Rattus norvegicus: one gene and its partners. The protein of the gene in region 1 binds, or shares a complex with, the protein of each later gene. Links are inferred from orthologs where the notes say so. Each region holds a gene or a part of one and is shown on either strand. Other genes may lie near its edges.

Evidence for each region.
Region 2: Wdr5 (region 1) and Yeats2 share a complex: the UniProt entries of both Homo sapiens proteins name them as parts of the ADA2A-containing complex. The link is inferred for Rattus norvegicus from reciprocal best matches to the Homo sapiens genes WDR5 and YEATS2.
Region 3: Wdr5 (region 1) and Cxxc1 share a complex: the UniProt entries of both Homo sapiens proteins name them as parts of the SET1 complex. The link is inferred for Rattus norvegicus from reciprocal best matches to the Homo sapiens genes WDR5 and CXXC1.

Annotation. Positions count from the first base shown.
Region 1 is NC_086021.1:31,247,948-31,254,773, forward strand, and holds the end of Wdr5 (WD repeat-containing protein 5), read left to right. Parts: intron 1-2,431; coding exon 2,432-2,507; intron 2,508-3,178; coding exon 3,179-3,212; intron 3,213-3,623; coding exon 3,624-3,698; intron 3,699-4,023; coding exon 4,024-4,111; intron 4,112-5,003; coding exon 5,004-5,104; 3' UTR 5,105-6,765; downstream 6,766-6,826.
Region 2 is NC_086029.1:94,313,145-94,319,970, reverse strand, and holds part of Yeats2 (YEATS domain-containing protein 2), read left to right. Parts: intron 1-214; coding exon 215-312; intron 313-1,585; coding exon 1,586-1,678; intron 1,679-4,494; coding exon 4,495-4,740; intron 4,741-6,253; coding exon 6,254-6,369; intron 6,370-6,826. UniProt on the Homo sapiens protein: Chromatin reader component of the ATAC complex, a complex with histone acetyltransferase activity on histones H3 and H4. YEATS2 specifically recognizes and binds histone H3 crotonylated at 'Lys-27' (H3K27cr).
Region 3 is NC_086036.1:70,090,397-70,096,283, forward strand, and holds the end of Cxxc1 (CXXC-type zinc finger protein 1), read left to right. Parts: coding exon 1-178; intron 179-532; coding exon 533-559; intron 560-635; coding exon 636-878; intron 879-1,031; coding exon 1,032-1,139; coding exon of another isoform or gene 1,140-1,151; intron 1,152-1,287; coding exon 1,288-1,472; intron 1,473-1,742; coding exon 1,743-1,950; intron 1,951-2,025; coding exon 2,026-2,136; intron 2,137-2,257; coding exon 2,258-2,307; intron 2,308-2,435; coding exon 2,436-2,532; coding exon of another isoform or gene 2,533-2,738; coding exon 2,739-2,891; intron 2,892-2,968; coding exon 2,969-3,115; 3' UTR 3,116-3,390; downstream 3,391-5,887. UniProt on the Homo sapiens protein: Transcriptional activator that exhibits a unique DNA binding specificity for CpG unmethylated motifs with a preference for CpGG.

The DNA of each region.
Region 1 (6,826 bases):
GTGCCCAACTCCTTTTTTTTTTTATTTCTTAGATTTATTTATTTTATTTATGTGAGTATACCATTGCTGTCCTCAGACATACCAGAAGAAGGCATTGGATACTATTAGGGACAGTTATGAGCCACCATGTGGGTGTTGGGAATTGAACTCAGGACCTCTAGAACCACTGAGCTATCTTTCCAGCCCCCTGTGCCCAACTCTTAGTGACATGCTCTCATTTAACACCCCTAGCCCCTTCAACCATCACTTGTGTGATGTTCTCTCCAAAACAGCCACTTATTGCAGCTGTGAATAGTCTTCACTTCGTAAGTTTGGGGACACAGTCACCCTGGAATATTGAGTTTTAAGTTCTTCTTGTTGTGTGTCTACTCTTTGGCTTAACTGGTTTTTCAGAGCAGTCAGGTAGTAATGTCCTGTCCTAACCATCCCCCTCCTCAATCTTGTCTTCCAGGGACCTCTGGTGCTCTCTGGTAGCAGCTATTCCAACCCACACCTAGTGCTCGTGTTATCAACACTTGTAAACATCTGCTACCTTTTGTCATCCTCCATTCATAGGGCTGTATCTTAGCTACAAAGGTCACCACTCAGAAAGCCGTGTAGTAAGTCTAGTCACCCCTCAGTATCTGGGAGAGCATTGTAAGACTTTCCATTGATCCCAAAGTCCCCAGATGCTCGGGTCCCTTCTGTGAGATGATGCAGTGTTTGCACGTGACGTGTACTTTGTGCTGTGGTTTAAAACACTGGGTATCCAGTTGTAGCAGAGGCCAGGAGGTAGTGGTTGCTGTTGGAATGATGTGTAGGTACATATCCAGTTAGACGCAGCCATCACAGGCGCTCCAACAGGTTGGTCGCCACAGGGTGGGGAATGCTAGAGTTGGTTACACTTGCTTCAGTTAAACAACTGTCCTAGGGAACATTAAAATTCAGTTTCTTCGGGTTTTTGGTGTCCTCCACTCCCTCCCCTTCTCCTTCCCCTCTAAACATACAGGGTTTGTCTGTGAAGCCCTGGCTGGGCTGGAGCTCATGTTGTAGGCCAGGCTTGTCTTGAACTCAGAGATCTACCTGCTTCTCTGCTTCTGGAGTTCTGGGATTAAAGATTGTGATACTGTGCCCTGTAAGGTCTATTTAAATTGTGTGTGCGTGTGTGTGTGTGTGTGTGTGTGTGTCCATCCGTCCGTGTCCCAATATATACATGTACATGTGTCACAGCACCCTTGGGGAGGTCAGAGAAAGCTTTTAAGAGTTAGACTCTTCTACTATGGGTCTTTTGGGTCTGTGTAGCAAACACAAGAGCCATCTTAGCAGCCTTTGGAACTTGTAGGTGCTCTGTTCTATACCTGCTGTTGGCTAAACCCTGGTCTGTGATGGACAGCCAGGTACATAGCCAGGATTTAGATTGTGCAGACAGTGGGCAGTAAGGCCTAGCTTGAGGTAGGTAGGCCGATTTGGCCCAAGGTCTGTTTCTCTTCTCTCATATATTGAGGTTTAGACATTCTTTTGCAGGGGGTGAGGGGTTGTTCAGACAGTTTTTCTCTGTATTCCTGTCTGTCTTGGTACTCACTCTGTAGTCCATGCTGGCCTCAAACTCTGAGATTCGCCTCTCTTCTGGTCCCGGAATGCTGGGTGGGATTAGAGGTGTGGCACACATCAGAGATTCCTGCAGGTGTCTGTTTCAGAGGTGGCCTGGGAAGGCACACAGGTATTGCTCCATGTCAGCTCAATTAATAGCCTTATGTGGCCTAGCTGGCCTTACTCTCTCATGTCCCTTTCAGTGTTTGTGACCAGTCACAAGAAACGGAGCCCCCTGCGAACCCCCTGTGGTAATATGTGTGTCAGGATACACCAGTCTTTGTATGCACATTTTAAGGCCTGGTTGGCTTCCTTGGCTAGGCAGGCCCACCTCAGGACACACACTCCTTACCCAGTTGAGGGGCAGACCCCGCAGGGGCCCACTGTGCAGAAGGATATGGCAGCGAACGCTGTGCCCTGGGAAGAAGCTTTTATGTGGGCAGTTTGTTGGAGGCCTGGCTCCTCAGCAGTGCAACTCCACTTGCCAAATGCTGAGGCTAAAGTCAGCAACCTGGTCTTCAGGAGGCAGAGGCACGGCCATCAAGAAAGGAGGAGAGCATGCTTGACTGAAGAGTGAGAGGCTATCTGTAAGACCACCCTAGGTCAGGCAGCTTTCTTCAGGGGATCAGTTGAGCATTGCTGGAGAGCTTTGGGCCTCCTTTCATGTGTGGTGGAGGCCTGTATTGGCAGGGCACTGGGTGAAGACTTAAGAATGTGAACAGCCAGGGAAGGTGATGGATGTCAGAACTCTTTGGTGTCCTTCAAGAGTGATGGTGGCAGGGGCATCACAGTCGACATGGGTAACTGGGAGCTGACTGCATCTCAGTTCTGCCAAGGGTCAGCCTGTCTGTCTTCTGTGTAGATGACGACAATCCTCCGGTGTCCTTCGTGAAGTTCTCTCCAAATGGCAAGTACATCCTGGCTGCAACTTTGGACAAGTGAGTGCTTTGGTTCCCTGAGAGCGATCTCACAGCTTTTGTTGGTGGGGTTCCTCTCCTCTTGTGTTGTTTCTTCTCCCAGTTGTCCAGTTGAGCTGTTTTATATCTGTGCATTAGAGCTCCTTCCTGGGTTGTGGGCTGAGGGGTTGAAGAAAGGACTGACCACTCTAGTTTTAGTATGAGAAGGGTTTGAGGCCTAGGCTGTTCTGCCGATTCCCAGCCTCCAAGCATGTTCACGTAGCAGAATCTCACTGCCATACATGATGACCCCCTCTGGCGTACACTGTACAAGGTCTCCAAAGAACCATGCCTAGTTGGCTCTTGAGAGTTGCCTGATTGGCATTATCCTGGTTAGCCTCCCACTCCTTCCCCAAGGTCGACATGAGCCTTTTCCTGTGGAGAGAAACTGGGCGTTTCTGGAGCCAACATGGTTTTCCACATTCTGCTTCTAGTTTTGGGAAGACAGCCAGCAATCTGTTTCTTCAGTCCGTCTCTGAGCTACAAGTATTAGGGTCCTTTTGTTTGCTCTTGTGTATCGTAGAGTGGCTGAACTTGGTGAACTAAAGGATCCTTTGTCCTGATACTCATGGTTGTTGAGATATGGTGGCATTAGGGGAGGCAGGGCATGCCAAAGATGACCTGTCCTTCACTTCTACTCTCTTGTCTTTCAGCACACTGAAGCTCTGGGACTACAGCAAAGGGAAGGTGAGCTTCAGGCATGTGGCTTGTATGGCCTGCATGCCAGTCCCAGGTACCAGGTTGAGGGTGGTGTAGCTGACCCATGAGTTGTAGCAGGAGCGGCTCAGCCATCTTATTTGATGAGAGAGAATGGCACAGCTCCCTTTAAAGACATGTTTTCTGAAGGACTAATCTGCAGGTCCAAGTCTGGGCCTTGTGTATGTCTAGAATATTTTTTTTTCTTTTTTTCGGAGCTGGGGACCGAACCCAGGGCCTTGCGCTTCCTAGGCAAGCGCTCTACCACTGAGCTAAATCCCCAACCCCTAGAATATTTTTAGAATATGTTCATGCTGTGGTTGATGTGTAATACCCAGAATTTGGAATCCTCTGGAATGAAAGCTAACCGTAAGTGCTAACAGCACACACTCACCTTTTCAGTGCCTGAAGACATACACCGGCCACAAGAATGAGAAGTACTGCATATTTGCCAACTTCTCCGTGACAGGTGGGAAGGTGAGTTCCCACTGAGCTGCTCCTACCCTGCCAGCTCTCTAAGAGGCCACCCATCCTAGGTGGCTTCATGTCTTTATGAAGCGTCCCTCAGCCTATGGAACAAACCCACACTTGCTGTTTTTGGATGGAGCTGTGATGTCTTGCACTTGGATATGCTTGAAGATCTAAGATGAGGTGGTGACTGGTGACTGGATAGCTCCACTGACTGAGGGTGGCATGGGAGGCATTTAGAGTGACGACAGCCAGCTTACCTGTGCTGTCTACCCAGCATATAACCTGATGTCTTTATCGCCTGTCCTTGCTGGCTGCCTGCTTGCTGCTGCAGTGGATCGTGTCTGGCTCTGAAGATAACCTGGTATATATCTGGAATCTGCAGACCAAGGAGATCGTACAGAAGTTGCAGGGTCATACAGGTGGGCAGTCATTGCAGATGGGCCGCATGGGTGGGGGGGAGCCCCTCAGCTCCCCAAGGTGCTTGGTTGTCTCTGGGGTTTAGAGACACACAAGCAAGTGTTGCTACTCTGTTCTCCCTGCCATCCCAGCCCTGCAGGCCTGAGAGGCCTTGAAAGCAGCATCAAGGGCTCTTACCTAGAGTCCTGGGCCTGGTTGGCTTTGGGTCTTAAGTTGGACTCAAGCCTCCTGGGAGTACAGCTTGTTTTCCTCACTGGAGAAACAAGGCACAGGTACCTGGGGTCTGCAGCTGCTGGTACTAGGACTCAGCGAATATGGAGAGTGTCTAACTCACATTTCCTGGAGGCTCCCGGCTCTTTCAGGGATGTTAGTTTTCCATCTGCTGGGCAAATGCTCAGCCTTGAGTGAGTACAGCTATGGAGTTAACTTATTTTAGTTCTTGCCTGCCCACTTTCTGAAAGGGGGCAGGGATATCAGATGCTCCTTTGTAGTGCTAAGGAGTGGAGGGCTCTTTTTCTGAAAGAGCAGTTGTCTTTGGCTGGGATTGGCTTGGTCACACTTGCTGTGGAACCTGAGGGAACAGGCAGAGTTAGTGGACCTCACGTGCCATCCTTTAATGCCCGTCTCCTTGCTCAGGTGTGTGGTCACCTCTTGCTCAGGTAGAACAACCTCATAAATAGTGGGCAAGTGGGCGTAGTCAGCCCTGAGACCAGTGAGGAGGCCAGGTAGACAGAAGTGAGGACCCTTGGATCCTCACCAAGCAGAGCAAGGCTGAGGTTCTTGGTGCTATTCCTGGCGTTCTGAGCATCCCCTAAGTTGTGCGGTGCTCCTGTGGGTGGTGAGGCATGTGCTGCTACTGCTTCTCCTGGAGTGACTGACTAGCTCTGCTTTCAGATGTCGTGATCTCCACGGCCTGTCACCCAACAGAGAACATCATTGCCTCAGCAGCGTTAGAGAATGACAAAACAATCAAACTGTGGAAGAGTGACTGCTAAGCCCTGGCTCCATGGGAGACTTCAGGAAGCCACCCAGATTGGCAAGAAACACATGTGGGGCAGAGGCGTGGGGCCAGGTTGGGTTGACAGGCTTGGTGCACCTCCTCTCTGAAGATGTCGGGCCAGGGGCGTGCATATATACCACCGAGTCTTGATAGCCACTGTGATATTTCTTGCCAATTCTGTCTCTGCCTGGGGAAGTTCCTGGTCTGTTCTGTGTGCTCAGAGGCAACAAATTTTTTAATTTTTTATTACAAGAGTGAGTCCAACTCCTCATGGGTTGTTTTTCTCTGTAATTGTTGTTTTGGTATTGTATTGCCCAGTGCACACACTGGAACAGGACCTACAGCCCTACTCCCATTCCCTGCCTCCAGCCTTGGCCTGCTTGTTCAAGTTCCCTACCTGTAATAGTACCCAGTGTGCTTCCATGAGTTTCTGGAAACACAGAAAGGTTGTAAGTTGTATCTGTGTCAAGTCCCTTTGTTTTTTTGGAGTTCATAGGTCAACACTGACCTCTCAGTGGTTGCAGTGTCCCCTTGTCTCACTGGTATCACTCAGTAAAGCCACACACTGTAATAAAAGGTGGGTATGGACTGGGTGTGGCCCTGAGTTCTGACAGAGCTCTTCACATCTGGGCTTTAGAACATACCCCCTCCCTGCAGGAGTTGGAAAAGTCTCTGGGAGGTGGGTTCTGCTGGGCCTCCTCTTCCCAGTGGCTGTGTTGGCACTAAGTGTTTCGAGAGGAAGAACCTCAGTTGAGAGAGTGGAAGGAAGGAAGTCTTGGAAAGGCACCATGTAGTGAGGTTCTGGACCCTCTTTATCTCTGAATGAGGCTCAGGGTCACCTGTGCAGGAGGGAGAAGTTCAATTTGGTGCTTGCCTCAGCAGATACAGCCTCCTGCCTTGGCCTCTGAATCCACCAAACCTCTCTTAGCCCTTGCTCCAAATGGATCCTCAGGTGACCAGGCTAGAAAGAGATAATGGCCAAGCTAGAACTGCACAGCATTTTCACAACTGCTTCTGGCCAAACCCAGGTGGCCTGACACGAAGCAGACTGCAGAGGGTCTGAGTCCAGATGGGTGGGCAAGGCTGCTGGGCACAGGCACAGGCAGAAAGGAGATTCTGGGTTTGCTCTGGTTGTGGCAGCTTGCGAGGTCAATACTGATACGTATTGAAGCCAGGTTGCCCTGGTCAGTAGCTGCTCTACTCTGCCTTTGCTGAGACCTGTCCCCAGCTGTGGTCCTCTTGGCCCTTCCTCCGCTCCATCGTGGCACAATTAAGAATCCAAAGGTGTTGGAAAAGGACCCCCACACACATACATACCAGTACATTGTCTCTTCCTTGAGGGAGGTGATGTGCACATGGACTGTCACATTGAAGAAGCCATTGTAATAGGGTGGCTTGTCACACTGACGTGGGTTCTGTGGCCCCTGGCATCTATGGGTAGATGTGCCTGGGTTCTGGTCAATGTTGTGGGCAGGTTGCTGGGGTTTCTGGAGGGGTGGTGAGGTCTTTCCAGCTGTGGCCCGGTGTGCGGCCCCTCCTGAGGGAGGGAGCTTGCTTGCCATGTTGAGCGCAGTATCCCCAAGTATAGTTTATTTTTTCTACAGTTGAACTCTGTTGTAGATTTATGTAAAAATACATTCTCTTTTTAAAAATAAAGATTTTCATGTCTTGTAACTTTGTTCCATTTTTAAAGGAATTAATTTTGTGTGCATACATT
Region 2 (6,826 bases), on another chromosome or scaffold:
ATCTGACAGTTTCATGCAGATGAAAAACATTTTTCTTTCTGAGCCATTTAAGGATAGATTATATAGTTTTATATTTCTGTGTACTTGTTTAGGCTATTGTGTCATGAACCCAAAGCAGTTTCTGGTTTTGTGGGGGGAGGCAGTGGTTTCTTTGGCTGCTGATTTAAATCACTAGGCACTGATTAATTTGATATGTTTTGTGTTCTTTCTATAGCTCGAGATGCAGCTGTGCAGAAAATTGAGACGATTATTAAGGAGCAGTTTGCCCTTGAAATGAAGAATAAGGAACATGAGATTGATGTCATTGACCAGGTATAGTAACGATAAATTGAAAACACTAAGTTTGTGGAGGGGAAAGTATATTATTTGATGAGATTTATTTTTAAAAAATTTCCAAAAAAAAAAAAAAAACCCAAAACAGAAACAAAACCTTAAGATCTGACTCAGGGTAAAGGTATATCTGAGTGAGAGAATGCTTGGACCCAGTGAGCAACCCCATCTCCTCCTCTGGCCAAAAATGAAAGAAAGGAAAAAAACAGAAACAAAATTTTCCAATGTTGGGCATGGTGGCACACATCTTTAATCTCGGCATTCCAGGTGGACCTCTATGAGTTCTAAGACATCGTGGTCTTTATAATGAATTTCAGGCAGGTGAGGCTACAGAATGAGACTCTGTCTCAAAACAAAAACAAAAAAACTATCCTGCTGAGGGATGGGTACACAGCTGTAATCTCAGTACTTGGAGGTAGGGACAGGAGAACCAGACATTTAAGGTCATCCTCACTAATTGTATTTGAAGCCAGCCTGGGACACATGAGTCTTTGTCTCAAATACCCAGAATAAGTAAAAGTTGGAGAAAAGATAAAAAGTCCTACTTGAGCTTCCATCTCCGAAGGTAATCCTTTTTGGTATCGTTCTCAGTATATTACAGTTATTTCTTAACTAATAAATATGCTCACACTTACTTTTTTTTTGTTTCTTCGTTTTATTTGTAGGTTTTTTTTTAAGGATTTGTTTATTATGTATCATGTCCTTCTGTCTGTATGTAGGCCAGAAGAGGTCACCAGATCACTTTATAGATGGTTGTGAGCCACCATGTGATTACTAGGAATTGAAATCGGGACCCTGGAAGAGTGGCCATCTCTCCAGCCCCTGCTTTTGTTCTTTTGAGACAAGTTTTCTCTCTTGGCTGTTGTGTGAGTCCTGGAACTCAGTCTGTAGACATAGTTGGTCTCAAACTTCAGAGATCCACCTGCCTCTGCCTCTCCAAGTGCTGGGGTCAAAGGCTTATGCCACTAGACCTGGGGTATTTGGGATTTTTAAGACTTTACTGATCAGGGAAGCACACACACTGTCCCCGTCCCCAGTCTGCTCTGGGGTAGAAGTATAAACTCCAGGACTTTGCTTATATACATGAAGTACATCTCCAGCCTGAATCTCTGCCAGTTTAATTAGATGAGGAGTTTTTATTTATTGAAGCAATTCAAGAAGCTGAGTTTTTGCTTTTGTTGTTTGTGTTTGTTCTGTGGATTTTAAGTCGTTATTTGCCGATTTAAACAACATTTAAACTCTCACTTGTTTTTAGCGGCTGATTGAAGCCAGAAGGATGATGGATAAGCTCCGAGCCTGCATTGTAGCAAACTATTATGCATCGGCTGGTCTCCTGAAGGTTTCTGAGGTAAGCGTTCCTCATGGTCCAGGCTATTCTCAGCCACCATTTTCCTTGTCTTGGGGGTAATCAGGACCGTGTGGATTCCCTACCATTGAGACCTTTCTGATATTGGCCTTTAGCATTTAATAAGCCCGAGCACCTTTCTGAGGAACATAGATCACCAGGCAATTTGTTTAACATGGTCCTATCCTTTCAGTACTAATTGCTAGTATAATACTGGCAGGGAAACCTCACTGCAACTCCTCCTGGGTCTTCCTCTTTTGCTTTGCCTTACCCAGCGTGCCTTGCTCTTTCAAAGGCTACTTCTTAATGATAGTTTTCAGTATAAGAGAAAGACAAACATGTTTACATACCATGTAGATTCATCACTTTAAAATTCTATTGTTTTATTTCCTCTAAAGCATTTAAATTAAGGTCTTAGACATCATAACATTTCGGCGCTCACTATAAAACTTTTTTACTCCATTTTCTCTTTCTCCTGGCAGCCGTGTATTAACCCCAGAGTGCCAGTGGAGGACACACAGGCACAGTACCTGTAAAAACACAAAATCAGAGACTATAAAATCAAGCAAATGATCAGTAAGATAAAACAAACAGAAAACCAGATAAAGCACTATCCTGTGGGTGTCCTTCCAGGGTTTCTCTGCATCTAAGGTTCCCTTAAGGAATTAGTCCTGGGTGAGGGTTGCCCTCCGTCTTGCAGTAGGACTTTGTTTTAAATCGATTGCGTCTACAAAGACCCCAGTTTCCCCCTCCTGTTCTCTGTGTGCTCGTGCCTGTAATCAACCCCCGGCTTGCACATGTAATAGGCATATAATGTACAATTCCGTAACGATGACAGCCCTTAGGCAAGTTCTGAATATTCTGGCTGGACGTGAATTGTGGAAGCTGTGTTTTCCACAGTTCTGGCATCACTGATTGAATAGCTCAGTATTGGTTCAGCACAGTGCACATCATGAGCTGCATTTGCGTGAGATAAAGGAGGCGGTAAGCAGATGCTGACCTTGAAAAACTGGTTAGTGGTTTGCTGATTTACCACTGGGATCTGGGCCGTCTGGTTGTCTAGAAATGCACCAGTTTCAGCCCCTGGTGTTCTGATGAAGACCTACCAAGGGCTGGAGATGGCTCAGTAGTTGGCGTTAGTTGGGTTCAGTTCCCAGTGTCCACATGGTGGCTTGCAACTCTCAGTAACTTTACGTTCCGGGGATCTAGCACCCTCCTCTGTCTCCTGCAGCTGTCAGGTATCCACATGTTGCACATGTGTGCATGCACACAAACCACTCAGACAGATAAAATAAACCCTTAAAGATTAAAAAAAGGGACTGGGGATTTAGCTCAACCTAGGAAGCGCAAGGCCCTGGGTTCGGTCCCCAGCTCCGGAAAAAAAAGAACCAAAAAAAAAAGATTAAAAAAAATTCAAGAAATCTTTGGCCAGGCTTTGTGTTATAAAGCCATGTACTTATTTTAGTTTAGAGAACACACAGTACTGAGAAGCACTGCTACCGAATTAATCAGCTCTTTATCTTATTTTAAAACATTAGTCTCTTCACCCACACCACAGCTTTTGTTTTGATTAATAGCTGTGTAACTCCCTCCCCTCCCCCTCCCTCCCTCCCTCCCTCCCTCTCTCTCTCTCTCTCTCTCTCTCTCTCACTCTCTCCCTCCCCGCCCTGTGTGTGTGTGTGTGTGTGTGTGTGTGTGTGTGTGTGTGTGTGTGTGTGTGTGTGTTGTCATGTGTGCACGAGTCTGAGTTGGGATGAAATCTAGCAGCTGCAATCCTCCTGCCTCTGCCTCCCAAGTACTGAGATTCCGTACAGTAGCGCCGTGCCCAGCCAGTGATACTGGTGGTTTTTTGTTTGTTTTTGTTTTGTTCGTGTGTGTTTGTTGTTTTATTTTTTAAATCGTGTGTTTGTATCTGGGTGTGTCCACATGAGAGCAGGTACCAGTGGCGGCCAGAGGTGTCCTGATTCATTCCCTTGGAGCTAGAGTTGAAGTTGTGAGCACATGACATGAATGCTAGAGCACCCAACTGAACAACTGAACTTAGGCCCCTGAGCTAGCCTGAAGGAATGTTCTTCGTTGCTGATTTTAAAGCTTCTACTTTTGTTGTTTTTTAACTCCAGTGTGGGTTTCATTTTTTTATACTGTGTACTTTCATTGTTTGTTTTGAGGCTATATATTCCAGGCTGACCTGGGACTGAAGATGAATTTACTTACTTAGATTCCAAAGACCTTGGGATTGTAGGTGTGCGTGAGCCACAGTGCCTGTTCTATGTCCTTTTAACATCAAATCTTGCTGGGTGTGGTGGACTTACCCTGGGCTCCTGGCCTTCTTGCCTCTACCTTCTGGATGCCAGGATTACCGGCATGCTCCCAAGCTGCATTTGTGTGGTACTACAGAAAGCCTTATTTTACTTTTTGAATGTAGTCCAGGGTGGTCCAGAACTTCAGATTCTCCTGCCTCAGTTTCCTCAGTTTCCTGAGTGATGGATTCATGTGTGTGTGCCCCTACTGTGCCTGGCTCATTTTTGACTTTGAGTGTTAGAACTTTTGCACAATTACTTGTCACTCTAGTTTCTGTTTTGTTGACACAGGCTAAGTATAAGAATTTATGGGTACAGAGAGATTTTGTTCTTTCCTTTTTCTTTCATTTATTTTTGGTTTGAGCCTAGCCTTTACTAGCTGAGCCGTCTCTCCATCAGGATATGGAGAGAGATTTGAAAGGTTGTTAACATGATCTTAACGTAAGTAGAAGTTTTCAGGAGTTAGGTTTTTATCAGTGTTTGTTGGTTTAATTAAGTTTGCTTCTTTCCTTTTTCTAGGGATTAAAGACATTTGATCCCATGGCTTTTAACCACCCTGCTATCAAGAAATTTTTGGAATCACCTTCTAGGTCATCGTCTCCTACTAATCAGAGATCAGAAACACCATCTGCCAATCACTCTGAAAGTGACTCTTTATCTCAGCACAATGACTTCCTATCTGACAAAGACAATAACAGCAACGTGGATGTGGAGGAAAGGCTCTCAAGCATCGGGGAGCAGAGACTGAGCCGGAACACGGGAAGGGTACAGGCTCCAGGGGGAACAGACCTGCTGTTTATTACATGTGGGCGGGACAGAAGTACTTTGATTTTTACAGCAGAGAAAAGGGCCTTTGGTTCTTTGAGATAGGGTCTCAGTCTGGGGCTTACCAGACTAGCCTATAACTTGAGGTATCTCTTGGTGTGTGTGTGTGTGTGTGTGTGTGTGTGCGCGCGCGCGTGTGTGTGCACACTTTGGTGGCATTCTTACTTTAGAGCAAAGCACTCTAGAGTGCAGCATAGCTCTTGGACGTCATTCGTGAAGTTGGGAAAGAACCTTAAGGATTAGAGTCAGATGATTATGGCTGAATGTCTAAGTAGTGACTCCTGTAATTTGTCATACAAAATCCAAAATACACAATTCTTTTCTTGACATGGTTTTGCTATGAGGCCCTGGCCAGCCAGGCACTGATTATGTGGACCAGGCTGGTCTGGAACTGTAGTGATCGCCCTACCTCTGCTTCCCGAGGGCTGGAATCACTGCGCCCAGCTATGATAGTGTGAGTGCCTAAATTGAAGCTACACTGTGCCTGGTTTATTTGGTGTTTTATTTATCTATAGAGTCATAGTCAAGTTAGACCAGTGATGGCATAGCCACAGCTTCAGTTATAAAAGGGAACTTCCAAGTTGCTTTCCATACATTTAGACATCAATGTTTGATTTCATTTTTATAAAAACAAATTGTTATTTTTCATTACAAATTCACTTGTCTTTTGATGAAAAAATAAAACAGGAAGGCAAATTAACGCATACTTTGACACCTCATAATCAGGACTCTGAGAATTTAGATTTACTTGTGTTTGGTCAGCATTCTTTCTCTTACCTCTTAAGCTGGGATTGCAGGCCTGTGCCTCATACCTGGAATATTTGGTACTGGAGCCTGAACCCAAGGCTTGGTACAGGCCAGAGAAGTACTCTATCAACTGTTACATCCCTAGACCCACTAATTTGTTGTTGGTAGTGGTGGTGTTTTTTTTGAGACAGTCCTGGAAACACTCTTTGTAGATTAGGAAGTCCTCAGAACTCAAGTGCTGGGATCAAAGGCATGTGCCACCATGCCCAGCTCTTTCTTTACAAAAGGAAAATCTGCTGGAGGAATAGCCCAGTGGTTAAGAGTACAAGTTGCTCTTCCAGAGGACCTGGGTTTGTTTCCCAGCATCCATATGACAGCTCACAGTCATCGTAACTTTAGTTCCTAGGGATTGACACTCTCTTGTGGCCTCAGTGGGCACCAGGCATACATGCAAGCAAAACAGACATAAAAAAAATATAAATGAACAACAACAACAACAAGCACGCTGCCAGGCGTGCTGGCCCATGCCCACAGTCTGAGCACTTGGAGAGCAGACGAGAGCCGCAGAGCAAGTCCCAGGCCTGCTGGGCTGTAGAAGACCCTGCTGTCTGAGAGAGAACACTTTCTGAGTTCTTTATGCCTCCATTATGGCAGCACCCTATCGAATATTGTTTAAGTGAGCACAACCCTTGGTCGTTTCTTTCAGGACACGTCTAGTATTAGTGGCTCCCACAAACGAGAACTACGGAGCGCCGACCTCGCAGGAGATGAGACTTCCCGACTGTTCGTAAAGAAGACAATAGTAGTCGGCAACGTGTCCAAGTGAGTACCCGAGAGATGCTTCCCATCGGCCGCTCACTTCCACACGAGCACTGGGCCGCCACTGCTGCTTTACCGTGGTCATGCTGTAGGAGAAAGGCTCTGGAGTTCTGTCTCCCTTGCTCGTCTGTAAAGTAGACGATGGTCTAGAAGTATTCGCAGAGTAACCTTGCGCCTTAGTAGAACTACGACGATCTCATCTGGTCTCCCCGATTCACTGATACGCTGCCCTGGACCCTGTCTGTGACGGCGCCTGGTGATGAATGGAGTGTTTACTCTTGAATGCACTGTAGAAGAGCAGGGTGGCATACTTTGCACTCTTCGAGTTACTTATGTTTGTTTTATGTGTGTGAGTGCCTGTGTTTATGTGTTCACTGCATGCCTGCTGAGGCCAGAAGAAGGCATCAGATCCCCAAGTCTGGAGTCACAGAGTTGGAGCCTCCATGTGGGCTCTGATTCT
Region 3 (5,887 bases), on another chromosome or scaffold:
GCAGCAGCAGCAGCAGCAGCAAATCAAACGGTCAGCTCGGATGTGTGGTGAGTGTGAGGCATGCCGACGCACTGAGGACTGTGGCCACTGTGACTTCTGTCGTGACATGAAGAAGTTTGGGGGCCCCAACAAGATCCGGCAGAAGTGCCGGCTTCGCCAGTGTCAGCTGCGGGCACGGGTGAGCATGGGCAGAGCTGGGCAAGATCAGATAGGAGAGCATGGCTGGGAGGCTCAAGTAGGGCTGCTTGAGCTACAAATAAGAAAGTACAGGTGGGGTGGAGCTTGGTTATGTTCAGACATGTGGGAGGGGCCTAGCAAGTTCAGGGGAAAGCTGGGGGTAGGGTGGGGGGGATGATAGCTTTAGGTTGTCAAGCATGCCAGGACACATGGGGTAGGATGGAGTATATCTGTGGTGAGGGGAGGGGAAAACTGCATTTGTTAGACCAGGCAAGGCCAGGGTAAGTAAATGGGGTTAGGACAGGGAAGACCTTTATTTTCCTGGGGCTGACCTAGGCCTTCCTCCTGCGCACAGGAATCGTACAAGTACTTCCCTTCCTCGGTGAGTCCAGCCCCCCAGGGCGGGGCAGGGCTGCGGGCAGGGCGGTCAGGGCCAGTCCTGAGATTCTGCCCCGCAGCTCTCGCCGGTGACACCCTCAGAGGCCCTGCCAAGGCCCCGCCGGCCACCACCCACTCAACAGCAGCCACAGCAATCCCAGAAGCTGGGGCGTATCCGTGAAGATGAGGGGACAGTGTTGTCATCAGTGGTTAAGGAGCCACCAGAGGCTACAGCAACACCTGAGCCACTCTCAGATGAGGACCTAGCACTGGACCCTGATCTGTACCAGGATTTCTGTGCTGGGGCCTTTGATGATCACGTAGTGAGTAACATGGTCATCCTGTGGTGGGGAGGAAGGGGAAAAGGTGAAGTCGTAGAATGGGGAGGGGGCCAGAGGGCGAACAGGCTGCTTGGGAAATGAGCAGCAGGTGTGGTAACGAGTCATCAGGTGGGTCAGCGCATGCCCTGCTTGCAGCCATGGATGAGTGACGCAGAAGAGTCCCCGTTCCTGGATCCTGCACTGAGGAAGCGGGCAGTAAAAGTGAAGCATGTGAAGCGTCGAGAGAAGAAGTCTGAGAAGAAGGTGATGGAGAGGGTAAAATGGGCATTAAAGGAAGAGGATGGCGCGGGGAGGGAGGTGGAGACAGCCAGACATCTGGAGCCTTGGAGAGGCAGACAAGGTCTGAGGCTGACCTCTGTGGAAGCCTGACATGACGTGGCTTGCCCTTTAGAAGGAGGAGAGATACAAACGGCACCGACAGAAGCAGAAACATAAAGACAAGTGGAAACACCCAGAGAGGGCCGATGCCAAGGACCCTGCATCTCTACCGCAGTGCCTGGGACCTGGCTGTGTGCGCGCCGCCCAGCCTGGGTCCAAGTATTGTTCAGATGACTGTGGCATGAAGCTGGCAGCCAAGTGAGTCTTCCCTGGGGCACTGAGGGGTCAGGAAGTACAGAGTAGGGGACGGCCAGACTTCCCTCCGTATACCTACAGTTAGTTGTCTAGGTACTGTTCAATCAAAACCCCATGGGCACACGAAGCCACTATGCAGTCCCCACCCCACTTCCCACCCCCCCAGTCACTCAACCTTGAACCTGTTTGAGTGACCCATCATTCACTGTCCCTTGGTCAGCTCACTCACTGCTTCTGGTGCCTCTCTGCCTGCACCTCACTGTCTCCCTGCAGCCGAATCTATGAGATCCTCCCCCAGCGAATCCAGCAATGGCAGCAAAGCCCCTGCATCGCCGAAGAGCACGGCAAGAAGCTCCTTGAACGGATCCGCCGTGAGCAGCAGAGTGCCCGCACCCGCCTTCAGGAAATGGAGCGCAGATTCCACGAGCTTGAGGCCATCATCCTTCGTGCTAAGCAGCAAGCTGTGCGAGAGGACGAGGAGGTAAAGACGTGGTAGAGTGGGCAGGACCCGGTATGGCGTCCTGCCTGGCCTCATCTTTCCTTTCAACCTATGCAGAACAATGAGAATGACAGCGATGACACCGATCTGCAGATCTTCTGTGTCTCCTGTGGGCATCCCATCAACCCCCGAGTTGCCTTGCGTCACATGGAGCGCTGCTATGCTAAGGTCAGGAGGCTAAGGGAGTGGATGGCCGGGGGTATCTATGGGCCCACAGGGACAGATTGGTTGCTTGGGTAGTGTCATGAGAGGGCACCCAACTTCCTTTTATCTGTGTTCATCCTTCCAGTATGAGAGCCAGACATCCTTTGGGTCCATGTACCCCACACGCATTGAGGGGTGAGTAAGCCGTGTGGAGTAGGAGCAGGGTGGTGAGGGTGGGGTGGGAAATAGGATTATGTGTGGAACTGGGGCCTTTGACGTGTTCTTGGAGCTACTCAAGGCCATATCCTGTGTTAATCCCACAGGGCTACCCGACTCTTCTGTGATGTCTACAATCCTCAGAGCAAAACATACTGTAAGAGGCTCCAGGTGCTATGTCCTGAGCACTCACGGGACCCCAAAGTAAGGTTTTTCCTCAAACCCCCTGCGTCCTGTCCTACCCTGCTTCACGTCTCACACCCATTCGTTCTTTTCCTCCCTTCTTTCTTCCTTCTCTTTTCCTGTCAGCTTCCGTTCCCGCCCTTTCTGTTTAACCATCCCCCACGCCTACTCTTTTGTCTCCTCTTGACTCCCCTCACCTGCTCACACCTGCCTTGCTGTCTCTGCAGGTGCCAGCTGATGAGGTCTGTGGGTGTCCACTTGTACGCGATGTCTTTGAGCTTACAGGTGACTTCTGCCGCCTGCCCAAGCGCCAGTGTAATCGCCATTACTGCTGGGAGAAGCTTCGGCGAGCAGAAGTGGACTTGGAGCGCGTGCGGGTGGTAGGTTTAACACTGGGGTAACCAGAGTCCCGGGCTCCGGGAGCTGCTTCTCATGCTTCCCTCCACTTCCTCGGCAGTGGTACAAGCTGGACGAGCTGTTTGAGCAGGAACGTAATGTTCGCACAGCCATGACCAACAGAGCAGGATTGCTTGCCCTGATGCTGCACCAAACCATCCAACACGATCCACTTACTACCGACCTTCGCTCTAGTGCTGACCGCTGAAAGTCACCAGCCCAGAGCCTCTCAGCCCTGCATTCAGTCAGGGAGGGGCTCTGCATTTCAGCTCGCTCTTCCTCCGTTCATCTGTTTATTCTACCACCCTTAGTTTTCTTCTTACCATCCATGTTTTGGCTTCTGTTTGCCCTTATCAGAAGGGTCTCTGCTTTCCCTTTGTCTCCTCTCCATAGTCAGTGCTGGGTGAAAGTCAAGTTTACTCAGCCTTGCCTATACCCTCCCCCAAAATAAACAGGTTTTGTTAATAAAATTTTGAACAAGAATATCTTTGGATAGTCTCCACTTTCAGTTGTGGTCCCAAACCCAGGACAAGGTAGCTGTACTTAGACAGGCTGTGGGAAATGTGCAGGCTGCGAGTACTGAGCTGACTCATCCTGTCCTCCCTTTGGCTATGAGAGTATGACCTGTTTGAGGGAAGTCCAATCATCAGGCCCCTGTGTTGGTATAATGGTATCCTGTCAGCACTGTGAAAGTCCTGCTAAGCAGGCTGTGATTAGTGAGGCCTGGGAGGGTGGGTGTAGGAAGCACACAAAATGGAGTCAGCTAAAGCAGCACGGGGTTAGTTTGGTTTATTCTCCACTGCTCTTCCATGAGTCAAAGCATTGACTCATTATCTTGGGTGGCTCAGAGTGTCCTAGGCCCTTGTGAGTGAGCCTATTAGTTGTTTAAGGAGGTTAACACGGCCGGTTAAACGAAGCTCAAGGAGCAGAAGTCCTAGGAGGAGATCGAGGGAAATTTGAGACCCATATATAAGGACTACAATCAAACCAGCATGGAACCAGGAACTGTCATCTCTCCTTCTGATGTTTATTTAGACTTTGTTTGACCTTTTCAAAGGTGTTTTAAGTGAGGACTGATAGCCTGCATAGAAACAGCTTTCCCCAAGGACACACCTAGATCTCCCCAAACACAAACAGCAAATCTGCCCCCACCAGTTGTGTAGAACTGTCCCAGAGATTTCATCCTGAGTGCGACGCATTCCAGTGGAAGGCTGTGGGTGTCCTATATCACCAGAGATGCTTCTGAGCTGCCTGTGGCATTGAAAGTTCATCTCTTACCAAGAAAATAGTCATTAGGGCTGCTCTTCCAGCCTGGCTGTCTTACTAGGGTAGAGGTTGGTAAGAGTCTGTAGCATGGTGGCCGGAAGCCAGGAAGGAGCCTGGTGGAGCACTCTGGGGCCTTTGTAAGTGCACACCTTGAGAAAATGTGAACTGGAACGCAAGGCAGGACCTCTGTAGTCTGAGGCCATGCATTTTCCTGAGTACAGAAGTACAGGTTAACCAGGTTCCCTGCAGTGCCAAGTAGGCTTTTGGATAGGATAGGCTGAGGGTGATATTGTGGGATTCTGAGAAGGGAATTTTTGGAAATTATAGTTAGACACTGTCAAGCATGAAGCATTGCCTATGGAATCTAAGGTTAACTGTAGTGTAGAGATATGACAAGTCGTTTGTAACAATTAGTATTTATTTATTTACATTCTGCTCGCTGCCCCTTCCCAGTCACCCCCTCCCACAATCCCCTTATCCCCATCCCCATCCCTCTGGTTGGGTGGAGGCCCCCTGGATATTCTCCCGCCCTGGAACATCGAGTCTCTGAGAGGTTAGGTGCATCCTCCCCCACTGCGGCCAGACAAGGCAGCCCCGCTAGAAGAACACATCCCACGTACAGGCCACAGCTTTTGGGACAGTGCCCACTCCAGTTGTTTGGGACCCATATCTACTTCATACATGCAGGGAGGCCTAGGTCCAGCCTTTGTATGTTCTTTGGTTGGTGGTTCATTCCTGAGAGCCCCAATGGTCCAGGTTAGTTGACTCTTGGTCTTCCTGTGGAGTTCCTATCTCCTTTGGGGTCTGCAATCCTTCCTCCTAATCTTCCAGAAGAGTCTCCAGGCTCTGTCCACTGTTTGGCTGAGTGTCCGCATCTGTCTGTCTGAGTCAGCTGCTGGATGGAGCTTCTCAGGGGACAACCATGCTAGACTAAGCTTAGTGGCAATCCTGGCTAACACAGGCTTTAGGTGTTCGGTGTTAGGTGACATAGGTGTCCAGTGTTTGCACAGAACCTGGCAACAGGCGAGGCATGAGGAAGTTTTCCCCAGTGGTTAGTGTTCCCACAATCCAGGTGGATTCATCTTTGCAGGGCTCCATTTTCTTGGAGACCTCAGAGGTTACTGTTGGGAATGGCAGAAAACCTAAGCATTCTAAATGCCATACTCAGCAGTGTTCTGAAAGGTTTGAGGACTACAACCTCTCTTAACCCTTTTAAAGACTATTTATTTATTCTAAGTACACTGTAGCTGTCTTCAGGCACACCAGAAGAGGGCACCGAATCCCATTACAGATGGTTGTGAGCCACCATGTGGTTGCTGGGATTTGAACTCAGGACCTCTGGAGGAGCAGTCAGTGCTCTTAACCACTGAGCCATCTCTGAAGCCCTATAATCTATTAAGTATGTCTGAGGCACACAAAGTCTGTTCCTAGTTACCTGCTTCAGACTCAATCCTGCAAACATGCAGAGGAAGCTAGATGAGGCTTATTTCTAGAATTAGTATCCTGTATGAATCCCAGTACCATGACAAAGTTTATGTACACATAATAATCTTAGACATTTTGAGACAATATTTATATCTTAAGGGAAGTTTTTTTTTTCTTTTTTCTTTTTTTCGGAGCTGGGGACTGAACCCAGGGCCTAGCAAGCGCTCTACCACTGAGCTAAATCCCCAACCCCTTAAGGGAAGTTTTAAAGAATCAAATAAAAACAAAA